Linked DNA regions of Caenorhabditis elegans. The protein of the gene in region 1 interacts with the protein of each later gene in a biochemical or structural test. Each region holds a gene or a part of one and is shown on either strand. Other genes may lie near its edges.

Region 1 (4,747 bases):
CGTTTTCTGGAATGGTTAACATAGAGCACCCACTTCTCATCTCCAGTAACCAGATTGTTCAGCCAATCGAACTTTCGACGAAAAGTTAGAAGTTGAGTACAAACGTTGACCCGAGTGAGCTTCTGTGATGCCGAAAGTTCATGAGGCACCCAAATTCCAAGTTTTGAAGTAAAACCAAGGCGACCCAAGTGACGTGCAATTGTGCTATGACAACACTCAAGCTTCTCTTCCATTTCACGAAGACTAAGACGAGGCTCTTCCTCCACCAGCTTCACTAGGTCTTCTTCATTTAACTCTACCGGTCGCCCAGAACGTTCTATTTCTTCGAGACTGAAGTCGCCGTTCTTGAACTTTTGAAACCAACTCTTTGCTGTATTATAAGAGAGTGCTCCCTCACCCATCGCACCGCATATGTTTCGTTCCGCTTCCATTGCTGAATGACCAAGACGAAATTCATAAAGAAGAAGCAATCTAACGTCTCGACGTTCAAGTTTGATGATTGTCATCGTGGCAAAGTAGAAATGGATGAAATGAATCTTTTCTGAAAGGGGACGACCCGACCTTGACACGACCTACGATGAAAAAATTTTAAAACTTTCTAGAAGTTTTGGAAAAATATTTGAAAAAAAGTACAAAAACTTATGGGACAACCTGATATTTAAAAAAAAATTGCTTAAAAATTTATTTTCAAATTTTTTCTTTAAAGTTATGCTCGAAATTATAACAAAAATGGAAATTTTGAATGAAAAAATATTTGCATTTTCTCAAAATTATGTTTTTTTTTCGGGTTCAGCACTTTTTTATAAAACAATTCAACTTTTTTTAAAATTAAAATTGAATTTTTCTGTTGAAAACCATATATTCCAGGGGTGTGCGGCAAATCGCAAAATTTGCCGAGCTCGGCAAATTCGGCAAATCTCTTTGTTCAATATTTGCCGAGCACGGCAAATTCGGCAAATTTGCCGAGCTCGGCTAATTCGGCAAATTCGGCAAATTTGCCGTGCTTAACAAACTCGGAAATTTTTGATATTTTTTGATGTTTTTGGACCACCAAAACTACCGAATTCTTAACACACATCTGGCTTCGGAATCAGTTCCGTGTAGTATGTCTGCTTAAGCATCAAAATAACTCAATTTTGTGTCATTTTACTGAATTTTTGGCGAAAAAATCAGTAGTTTTAGTCGAAATTGTACTGTCAAATTTTTGACGTGTGCGGCAAATTTCGAAATTTGCCGAGCTCGGCAAATTCGGCAAATCAACTTTTTTGAAATTTGCCGAGCTCGGCAAACGACAAATTCGGCAAATTTGCCGCACACCCCTGATATATTCTGCACACAATGATTTTCCTATATTTCTTACACTTGTAGCACAGGTAACATTTGCCAGATCATCTTCATCAATTTGTAGTTCTCCTTCAGAATCTTCTACAACTTCATCATCATCTGATGCTACGACCACTGGCTTTTTCACTGCAGTATTTAGATTCAAATCGATCAAATTTTGAGTACTTTTGAAAACTTCAGGCTTTTGGGCTAGTTTTTGGATTGGCTCAGGAGGAGTTTCCAGCGATTCAGAAGCTGTCATAATTTTTATGTTTTCAAGATCTTGAGAACTCGCAAAGGATACTCTTCGATTCGCTGGTTTCTCTGATTTTTTCGGTGGCGCCACATGGAATTTCTCCATTAGCTGATTGATATTCTGCAAAAAATATTTTATTTCAAAAATTATTTTCCTCTAAATAAGCCCGAATCATCACAAACATTTCGAAGAAATTGTCGCATCGTCGGCATTAATTGGAAAAGTGCATCGATTTCATCAATCTCTGTCGAATTTTCTGGAAAATTGGCAAAAATTAGCGAATTTTTTTTTGATTTTTGACCAACCTCGGAGGGTATTTATGTATTCTTCAATATCAACATTTTTCAGTTCTTCTCTTGATATTTTATACGTTTCTGTAGAGGTTTCCACGTCTTTTTTCAATTTTTCCAGCGGGAATACTCGACTTTGGAGCTCTACAGGTTGTTTTGTGGCTGGTTCTGGCGGTTCTACCGGTTCTGCAGGCTCCTCGGCGAATGCGCTCGGCGGTTGTGGTCGACTCGGTCGCTTTCGGCGCTGAAAATACAGATTTAATGTTAATAGAGTCAAAATAGCCCAAAAAGGCCGAATTTTTTAATGATAACTTCGAAAAACGGACTAAATTATGCAAAAACTCAAAATTTTTCAACTATTTAGCTAATTAGCAATTTGTATTGCATTTTTAATTTTTTTTCCCAAAAAAATACACTAGAAAATGTAACTATAGAGTCCAGTTTTCCAAACAAAAAAAAAGTAAAAAATATTTCTTTTCTGCTTTTTTCGTGTTTTTGACGAAATTTTTTCGCAGTCCGCTATGATTTTCAGTCAGAAATTAGCAAATCGATGAAAAAAGTGTGTAATAAAATTATTAAAAATTGATTTAATCGCTATACGACACAAAAAAAGGTGAAAAATGTTTTTATTTGACATTTTAGAAATATTTTTAGTGATTTTCTTTTGGTTTTAATTGGTTTTTTGTGCCAAAAAGCATACCACTGGCAAAAAAGGTATAGCAAAATCTGGAGCGCATCGTTTTCCATCATTCTCTGGAATAATCGTGATATCCAGCGGCATTTGACTTTCCATGAACATTTTCTCTGGCGGCAGTGACTTGAACGTATTCATATTCTCAATATCTTTTTTAAATGCTTCTGATAGCTTTAAATAGTTCTGCACAGCCATTGTAATTTGATAAGTATCTCGACAACTTCGCTTATCCAGTACACTTCTACAAATTGGGCATTGAACTTTTCGTTTTCGTTCGAAGCAAGCGTTAATGCAAGAACGACAGAAAATATGGAAACATGTGGACAGAATTGGATCTTTGTATGTTGAACAGCTGAAAAAAAACCAATTTAAGGTTTTTTTGTTGATTTTTTGAAAATAAATTACCAAATTCCACATTTCAGTTCTTTTTGCAGTCGTGCCACTGTTTCTGTGATCCTCAGTGCAACATCTGCCATCTGAAATTAAATTTTAAACAAATAACATTTCATTTTAATTGAAAAATCAATAAAGTAGGTTAAAATACAAAATATTTGATTTCAAAACTCCCGCGCTGAGGGGGCATCAGAGAACACTCATTGCAAACCTGCTCCACTGACAATCGGGGCGGAGTAAAGCGGAGAGGAGAGAGCGCCCCGCCTCCCCGCCGGTGCCTATATTTCAGTCGGTGCCCCCGGTCTTCGCCAGCATCCCCGCTTTTCCTCTCCCTTCTCTGATGACTCTCTTGTTTTTCCATATTCTATCAAGGAAATTCCCTTTGGAAATCCTGAGACTTCAAGCTACGGAGAATATTTTTTTTTAGAAAAAGAAAGAAAAAAAGAAGAAAGAGTGCGCGAAAACGATGCTGCTTTTTCGGTTTTCTATCTTTTTTTCTTCTTTTTCGGCTTTGAAAAAAAAAACATTTTCTGGATGGTAGCTCTTTTTGGGAAAGCTTTATGCAGTAGTTTTCAGTTAGTTTAGCTGCTAAATATCATTTTTGCAAGGTTCCGTTCAAACAAATTTTGCAAACACGAATTTTTCTTTTTATAATATTTTACTTTAATATTCTGCTTTTTAAAAAAATTTTAAAACCAAGATTAAAGATATATAATCTGCTTTTTTCCTCAAAATCTAGATGATAAAATTTTTAGAAAACTAATGTAGTTCAAAAAACTCCACATCTTCTCTTAACTCAAAAAAAAACAATTTTTATAAAAAGAGACATTTTTGCCGTTTGTCGCGATAACTTGCTTTATTAAAATGCCAAATGTGGTTTTTTAATAAAGTAATTAATTAATGTTATTGATTATTCAAATTTTGAGAAAAAAACATAATCAAGCCTTTAAAAATCATTAAAAAAGCAGAAAAAAAACACAAAACACACTATAAAAATTAATTTTTTAAAAAAATTTAATTGAGCAATTAGTGCAATTTTTCGTAACGGTGCTTGCGTACTGTGCACTTGATCCGACGACATCTACAGTACTAACTTTCTCATCTTATTTTTTTAAACGTTTCCACGTCAAATTTTCAACTTTCCCGGCGGTAATTTTCAGATTTTCATAATCAATTCTGACCAAAATACCAGCAAAACTCTGCACTCGAAGGTCAATTTTATTTATTTTCTCTCACTTTTTCCTCTCTCCGCCGTCCCCTTTCGTCCACCGTTTGACCCCATTGATCACACACAACCGTAGATTTGTTTTCTGATCGTTCTTCGAAATTCGTTTATCAGAGAACTGTTCAAACCGAATTTTAGGAGTAGTTTGAAATATAGAACGTGACTTTACTGGTAACAAATTGTGAGAAATCTAATAAATAGAAGAAAAAACGAAACGAAATTGTATTTCTCGCGTTGTGTTATTGAGTTTGTTTTCTCCAGTTTTCCTTTTTTTCTTTCTATTTTCTTTTCTTTTCCAAGTGTTTGTTCTTTGTCCTGCTCACGGTTTATGGTGCCATATTTCGCATGTTTTACCGCATTTTCTTATCATAAAGTGCCTCATTTTCAGGTTATTGCATCTCATCATGTCGGACGTTCGCGTCAAGTTCAACCTAGCCAACGATGGAGAAGGTCTCGACGAGGATGTAAGAATTTATTTCTTCGAAAGAATACTTTTAAAACCAATAGATTTCAGATTTTCCTCCCTCCAGCCCCACTCCTTGCCGGTGCTCACTGTGCTGGCCTTC
Region 2 (6,702 bases), 3.0 Mb from region 1:
TTGTAAACGATTTCTGAATTAATTCTTCATAATTTACCAGCATACATTTTTAAGATACAAGAAATTAAATATTGTTCCAACACTTTTTTTACAGGCGGTGATCCATTTTCTGATGCTGTCTGGCTTCCTGTACTCGATTTATGTTCTATCGAGTGTGAAATAACATCCGAATATTGTGTGGAAAATGAGGAACTTACACAACAATGCAAGAAATGTATGTTTTCGATGTTTAGAAGAAAGCTTGAGTTTTAAAAAATCTTTTTTCAGTACCGGAAGATTGCCAGGCTCTTCTCCGAAAAGCAATCAAACAAATTCAGAGACATATTCGATCACAAAAGCCAGTTTACCTTTAGATAATTTCTATCTCACTAATTTTTGTAAATTTGAACAATAAAGACTCTTGAATATTACCTTTTTACTCATCAATCTGAATTGTCCTTTTCCACGTGTAGCGGTCTCCATTCGATTCAAAACTTCTTTAGTAAATACTACAACAATTGATTTCACATCGCCTCCAAAATCAAAGAATTGAGTGACAATCGTGAGAATTCTATCGAAAACTTTCGTCTCGTTGCTTGAAAGGGCCCATGGCTCGAGAACTTCTGAAAATGAGAATTTATAAAAAAAACTTTTCAAAAGTATAACTTACTCAGGTACATTTTATCAAAACCAGATGATTCAACTGATGCTTTGATGAGAAGTGGAAGAAATACTTGAACTGTGGCGAAGTCACAGCGCTGAAAATAAAGTATTTATAAAAATTTTAAAATAGAAAACTAACCTTTAAAGCAGCCAAAATTTTAGGATACTGATCATCAGAAAATTGAATAGATCCGTCTTTCTTTACAAACTTTGCGTATTTTGCAACCACTGTTGAATGAGAATTACGAAGGCGAAGTGCCAGGTAGACATTTTCCGGTGTGAACTGAGAGCTGAGACCTTCCAAATTCATTTCGATGGCTGGGGATACACTCTGAAATTTAAAAATTAATATAGATTTGTTTTTGTTCAAACAGTAAATTGATTTACCTTTTGGAAAACACTTTCTTTTGTCTTTGTAGCCAAACTGCATAGAAGGTTAATCTGTGAAAATGCCAAGCTTGGAGCAAAGTCTCTGATTTTCTTCGAATGCTCAACAATTTTTGTAGCTTCTGCTTCTTTGAGTTTTCTGGTTTGACAATATGTGACAAGAATAAGATAATGTCCAATTGCATGTCCGGTACCAACAGTCTGAATCGAAACATTTAGTACAAATAAAGGAACTTACAATCCCAACCTTTTCTGCCAGGTCCATCTTTTTATCTGCAACGGCCAATATTTTGTCGAGTTCCCATGATTCGCCTGCTTTTGTCATTAAAATAGTACCCAAAGCGGTTGTATATCCCAAACGAACAGCAGCACGAGCTGAAGCACATCCAGAAATAAGACGTTCAATCACATATGTGTTGAGCTCGTTATCGGATAATTCCTAAAAAAATAACACTTTAATTAGGCATTTATTTCAGCTACTTTTTTCCTACCTCTTGTTTGCTTGAAAGCTGTCTAACTGCTCCTTTTCTGACTAATGGATCGAGCTCAGCAAGCTTTGAAATAATATCGAGTAATTCACTTGGCGGTCTCATGCTTAAAACTTAAAATTATAATTAAAAAGAGAATAAATTGACGAGAGGATCATTCTCGTGAATTTTCCAGACCAAGTAAACTGTATTTTTCTATAAAACACAAAAAATAAATGTAATTTTAGTTTAATGAAAGAAAAAGAAATAGAAGTAAAATATTTTGTTCGTAAAATAAAATGTATTCTGTGCGCACGCACCACACCTGACGCGCAAACAAACAAGTGCGATTTTCGAATTTTATTCTTTTCCTGTTTGATTTAATTATTGTTTCAGCGTCAAATAATGTTTGAAAACACTAAAAAAGCATTGGAAACGTTTCGAACAGCTATCGAGTGTGTTAAATGGTAAGTTGTTGTACAAGATTTTGCCTCTTAAATAAAATTTCAGCAAAAAACCGAGGGGAGACTTGCAATATCTCGGATCATCTTGCAAACATGCTTATTGCTGGTAGGTATTGCAACCTAATAAATTGTCAATAACTTCAGTTTATGTTCAGGGAATGTATCGCCACATTTCAACAGAAACCGTCTGGAAAACGCTCTTCAGTGGCTCGACACATGTGTCCGAGTTGTGCTTTCCCACTAGACACATCCAAAATCACAGAAGCTCATATGCTGAAAACGTGCTTTGATACTTTGTCTGAACTAAACGACCTTTTACAGAAAGTAAGTCAATGGTGAAAAGCTCGAAAATTAAATTCTCATTTAGGTCGGAACAACATCTCTAACTCAAGCAGAGTTTGCCTGTACACAAAACATTTTTAACAAAGAAAAAACTCCAGCTGATGCCGTAGAGAAATTCCTGGAGACGCAAGCTCATATGCCAGACGAGATGGGACAACTTGGTGAAGAGGATGATGATTTGATGTGTAAAGATGAAAACCGGTAAGTCGAAAAAATCTGCGTTCGGGGGGAATCGAACCCCCGTCGAATGCTTGGAAGGCATCCATGCTGACCATTACACCACGAACGCGACATATCGGGGATATCTTTCCGAGAAAACGATTCCCGTCATGCTTCTTCTACAAACCTGATGCGGTCTATTTGGTGGCTTCAAGTAGAAATGTCTCTTCATTTAATAGCTGGTTTCCCATGCCGCGTTCGTGGTGTAATGGTCAGCATGGATGCCTTCCAAGCATTCGACGGGGGTTCGATTCCCCCCGAACGCAGAACTTTTTTTCATATTTTCCCAGTAAATTCAGGGAAAATTCAAACTCTCCAGAATTGGATATATTCCACGACTACAGCAAAGAAGCTTCTCCGTGAGTTTGTTACATTGCTTCAATTAATTGAATTTTATTTACTTTTAGAACGCGTAATTCGACAAAACGCCCTTCAACTGTCAGTGTTCATGAGAGAAAACCCAAAAGGTCATCGATACTGAAAACTTCCGTCAAAAATGAACCGGCTGCGCCTGTAGTTGATCTTTTTGCATCGCAAGTTCCGCAGAGAACTCATCAAAATGATTTACTGACGCCGTTTATTGAGGTATGACAATTTCACTTTAAAGACGCTTCAGAACTTTAACGGAAATTCTTCAGCGTCGCTCAACTGCTCCAGCAGCAACTGGTGTTGCAACGTATGCTCAAGCTTTCGGAAGTAGCAGTAATCCAGTTAAAGCCGAAATTATCGAAGAAGATATTTTCTCGAAAGCGATTCCTCTCACAAAACGGCAAGCTTCAATGAGTGCGAGCGCCAAGAAACAACCAAAATTGGAACCTGAAGAACCAGAAGAAGTACCATCGACGTCTAGAAGTCGTAAAAATTCGATTAAATCCGATAAAATCGAACGACGATCTCAATCACCGATGAGTTTTGGAGAGAAGTCGATGAGTGTGAAATCAGAGCAAGTGAGTGACTTCAATAAAAGAGTTTTCGGGCGTTCGTCTTTCTACTCTGTCACGCTCAACGTCCACATTATCTTGTTGTCTGCGCCTCTGTCCCTTACTTAACAAGTCTTTGCATCACAGCACGCATGGCCTCCTTAGCTCAGTTGGTAGAGCGTGAGACTTTTAATCTTAAGGTCAGGGGTTCGAGTCCCCTAGGTGGCTTGACTTTTTTTTTTGAAAATTGAACTTGATCTCTACGCCTTCATTCCAATTTTCACATTTTCGCAAACTTTTTGCAATTTTTTAAATGTTCAGCGTCGCAGTTCTTATGGTACTCGTCGTGGTGAAGCTGTCCTGGTCAATTCAATTCGCAATAATCGTATTCCTCAACTTCGAAGTGCTGTAGAGGCAGGAACGTGCGTAAATGAGAAAGAAGACGGAAAGACACCACTTTACGTGGCAGTTGAGAATAGCTCATTGGAAGCTGTTAAGATACTTGTTGAAGCGGGTGCAGTTATTAATGCTTCATGTAAGAAACAACTTCTATCAACTTTCTTGACGAAGAATTCAGGCGGCTCAACATTAGAAACAACGCTTCACGAGGCTGTTCGCCGTCAAAATACTCAAATTGTTGAATATCTTTTATCGAAAGGTGCCAGCATCAAAATTCGAAATATTGCTGGAAAAACTGTCGAAGAAATGGCTAAAAGTGATCCGAAAATTAGGAAAATAATCGAAAAATTCAAGACTGAACAGAGAGTTTTACAGCCTGGTAAGAAATTTTTTGACAATTTTATTCTTCGTGATAAAAATTGAATTTTCAGTCGTCGCCCCTCCAAAATCTCGTCTTCATTTCGTTCAACTCATAGATGAGAAGATGCTCACTGAATCTGAAAAACGAAAACTTCCCGGAAAAATCAATGTAAAAACAATTAATTTTTAAAAATAAAATAAATTTATTCAGATAGTTCCTGCTGATATGGATTCTCCGACGCATGTGGTAGTCACCGTTGATTTGAAAACTCGTGTGCTCAATATTAACAAGGAGCATATTGGAGAAATTTTAAAAGCTATCATAAAGTAGGTTTTTAAAATTATCCTAAAAAGTGGGAGATAGTCATTTTGGGATTTTTAATGTCAGAAAATAGACCGTAATGACAGACTATAGCTGTTAAGAAATTAATTTTTTCGAAATTTTTCAAAAAATGGGCTACTTATTTTTAAATTCTCGCGCAAATAAATGGAAGGCATTTGTTCGTAAGAAAACGCATGATAATCAGAAAGAAATTCGCTGAAACTTCAAAATTGAATTGAAAGTCGATAATTTCACATTTATTCATCTTTTTTTTTGCTTAAAAAATTTATGAAAATCTGACAATCTTCGGAACATCAAGCAAAAATCACGAAAAGCGTTCGAATTTAGCCATTCATTTGCACGAGAGTTCAAAACTAATCAGAACTTATTATTTTTCCAAAGCTGAAATAATTTTTTAACAGTTATATTCGGTAATTATGGTCTATTTTCTATCATTCCTTCAAATCAGGTCGCAATGCATTACATATTTATTGGAGATAAAAAGATAATTAGGCACGAACACAGGCTCCTGCCACACATTTTTTTCCAACTGGACAGTCAAAAGTACAAGGTTCATCAGCATTTTCGTCAGTGATAACAACTCCACCACTTGCATGATTTGAAAAAAGACATTGTCCATAAACACAAAGCCTATTATCCGAGCAATCCGAATCAGTTCGACATTCTGCTTTCTTTGCATTAACATAAATTGAAAGAAGAAGAAGAAGGAAACACTGCAAAATTAGTTTTGAATATTAGCAAAAGTAGTATATAACTCACCAGAAACACCTTCATTTCAGTTTCACAGTGGCTCGATTGTATTATAAAATGCGTTTCCCTGTCTAGTTATAGACTGATCCCATGGGAAAATTGCAAACAATCGCAAGGGTGCAGTATGAGAGCCAAAAAAATCTATGTGAAAATATGAAATTTCAAAGCGGAAATTCATACTTTCAGATCGGGAATGATAGTTAGTCGAGATTGGCTGAGAGCGTGCATTATTGATCCATCGAAAGTCGATGATGATCGTTCTTATATGGTTCAGAAAGTTAGATGGATGGAAGGTGAAGTATTTGAAAATACTATTGAACAATGGAAGAAGACAATCACTAAAATGGTACGGATTTGATTTCCACTAAAGAAAAAAATACAACCAAATTTTTCAGCAACCAAAATTGTTCGCCGGTTGCAAATTTTTCATTCCAAAGCCAAAGTATAACTTCCTCGGTACGATTCTAATTTACAGTATTTTAATTTTTTCAATTTTCAATTTCAGATCGCCCAGCTCTTTTTGAAATTATTCGATCTGCCGGTGGTCAAGCTGCAGCGAGGGAGCCCATTATTGACGAAAAAGATCCACCGCCGTACCATAATGCCAACTTGAAACCAAACTTTGTGCTCTACAGCTTGACACATGATGTAAGTTTAACGAAGGAGTTTTCCTGTTATTATGGATTCGGTAGTTTCAGTTTGGTGACATTTTTATTTCTCTTTACAGATAGGAGACAAATTCCGCGACTGCACAAAGTACAATCTTGTCAGCGAGCAGTGGTTAATAGAGGCGATTCTTGGATGCTCCATCACAACACCACCACATTAACCATTTTCCGTTTTAAAATATTTTCTTTTGCGTTTCTATTGTAAAATTGCAATATGAATGATTATTTTTTGAAGTGTTATTTTATACACAACGGCATCCAATCCATGCAATTAAAGTTATGATGTAATTAAAATCGAGAACAAGATATAAATATAAGTTATGAGATCATATTAATTAAAAACAATTTACCGGCTTAAAACAAGAAAATTACAATTGAGTTATACAATTTACAATGATACAATTTACATTAAGAAGAATCTACACCATTCGTTTCCTGTACCTTTAATTTTCTTTTTTGATATTTGTTAACGGCAGTGACTGGACGAGTCTCATTATATTTCCGTTGATAAATAAAACAAGCATTACATTGAATTCCTTCCTTTGATCGAATATTCCTCCAACGAATTGTTTCAGTTACTGAACAATTTGAGCATTGAAATGACTTCTTATTATCAGAATTGCTCGGTGGAGTTGAACTTTGAGTAGAGGTAGATGGAGATGTAGATGGAGTAGAAAAATGAGTAAACGTGGTGAAATGGGAAGAATTAGGACTTCCAGTAGTTGGTGAAATATTTAAAGA

Evidence for each region. The genes of interacting proteins can lie anywhere in the genome.
Region 2: the proteins of brc-1 (region 1) and brd-1 form a complex in vitro, tested with the Caenorhabditis elegans proteins (one study listed by BioGRID).

The regions. Positions count from the first base shown.
Region 1 is NC_003281.10:3,859,920-3,864,666, forward strand, and holds the start of brc-1 (Breast cancer type 1 susceptibility protein homolog), read right to left. Parts: upstream 3,040-4,747; coding exon 2,969-3,039; intron 2,916-2,968; coding exon 2,570-2,915; intron 2,114-2,569; coding exon 1,885-2,113; intron 1,836-1,884; coding exon 1,762-1,835; intron 1,700-1,761; coding exon 1,361-1,699; intron 1-1,360. Other genes in the region: acs-19 (Acetyl-coenzyme A synthetase), read left to right, coding at 4,586-4,645, 4,696-4,747. UniProt on the Caenorhabditis elegans protein: E3 ubiquitin-protein ligase that specifically mediates the formation of polyubiquitin chains and plays a central role in DNA repair.
Region 2 is NC_003281.10:6,884,695-6,891,396, reverse strand, and holds brd-1 (BRCA1-associated RING domain protein 1), read left to right. Parts: upstream 1-1,892; 5' UTR 1,893-1,901; coding exon 1,902-1,963; intron 1,964-2,006; coding exon 2,007-2,066; intron 2,067-2,115; coding exon 2,116-2,284; intron 2,285-2,327; coding exon 2,328-2,503; intron 2,504-2,511; exon of another isoform or gene 2,512-2,594; intron 2,595-2,715; exon of another isoform or gene 2,716-2,806; intron 2,807-2,820; coding exon 2,821-2,880; intron 2,881-2,928; coding exon 2,929-3,106; intron 3,107-3,159; coding exon 3,160-3,468; intron 3,469-3,593; exon of another isoform or gene 3,594-3,681; intron 3,682-3,762; coding exon 3,763-3,976; intron 3,977-4,018; coding exon 4,019-4,219; intron 4,220-4,271; coding exon 4,272-4,369; intron 4,370-4,411; coding exon 4,412-4,527; intron 4,528-5,479; coding exon 5,480-5,639; intron 5,640-5,688; coding exon 5,689-5,749; intron 5,750-5,798; coding exon 5,799-5,941; intron 5,942-6,020; coding exon 6,021-6,122; 3' UTR 6,123-6,190; downstream 6,191-6,702. Other genes in the region: K04C2.5 (INSulin related), read left to right, coding at 95-214, 268-353; K04C2.2 (DNA polymerase V), read right to left, coding at 412-602, 650-737, 782-973, 1,030-1,230, 1,277-1,468, 1,521-1,622; med-2 (GATA-type domain-containing protein), read right to left, coding at 6,370-6,702. UniProt on the Caenorhabditis elegans protein: Constituent of the CeBCD complex that possesses E3 ubiquitin-protein ligase activity.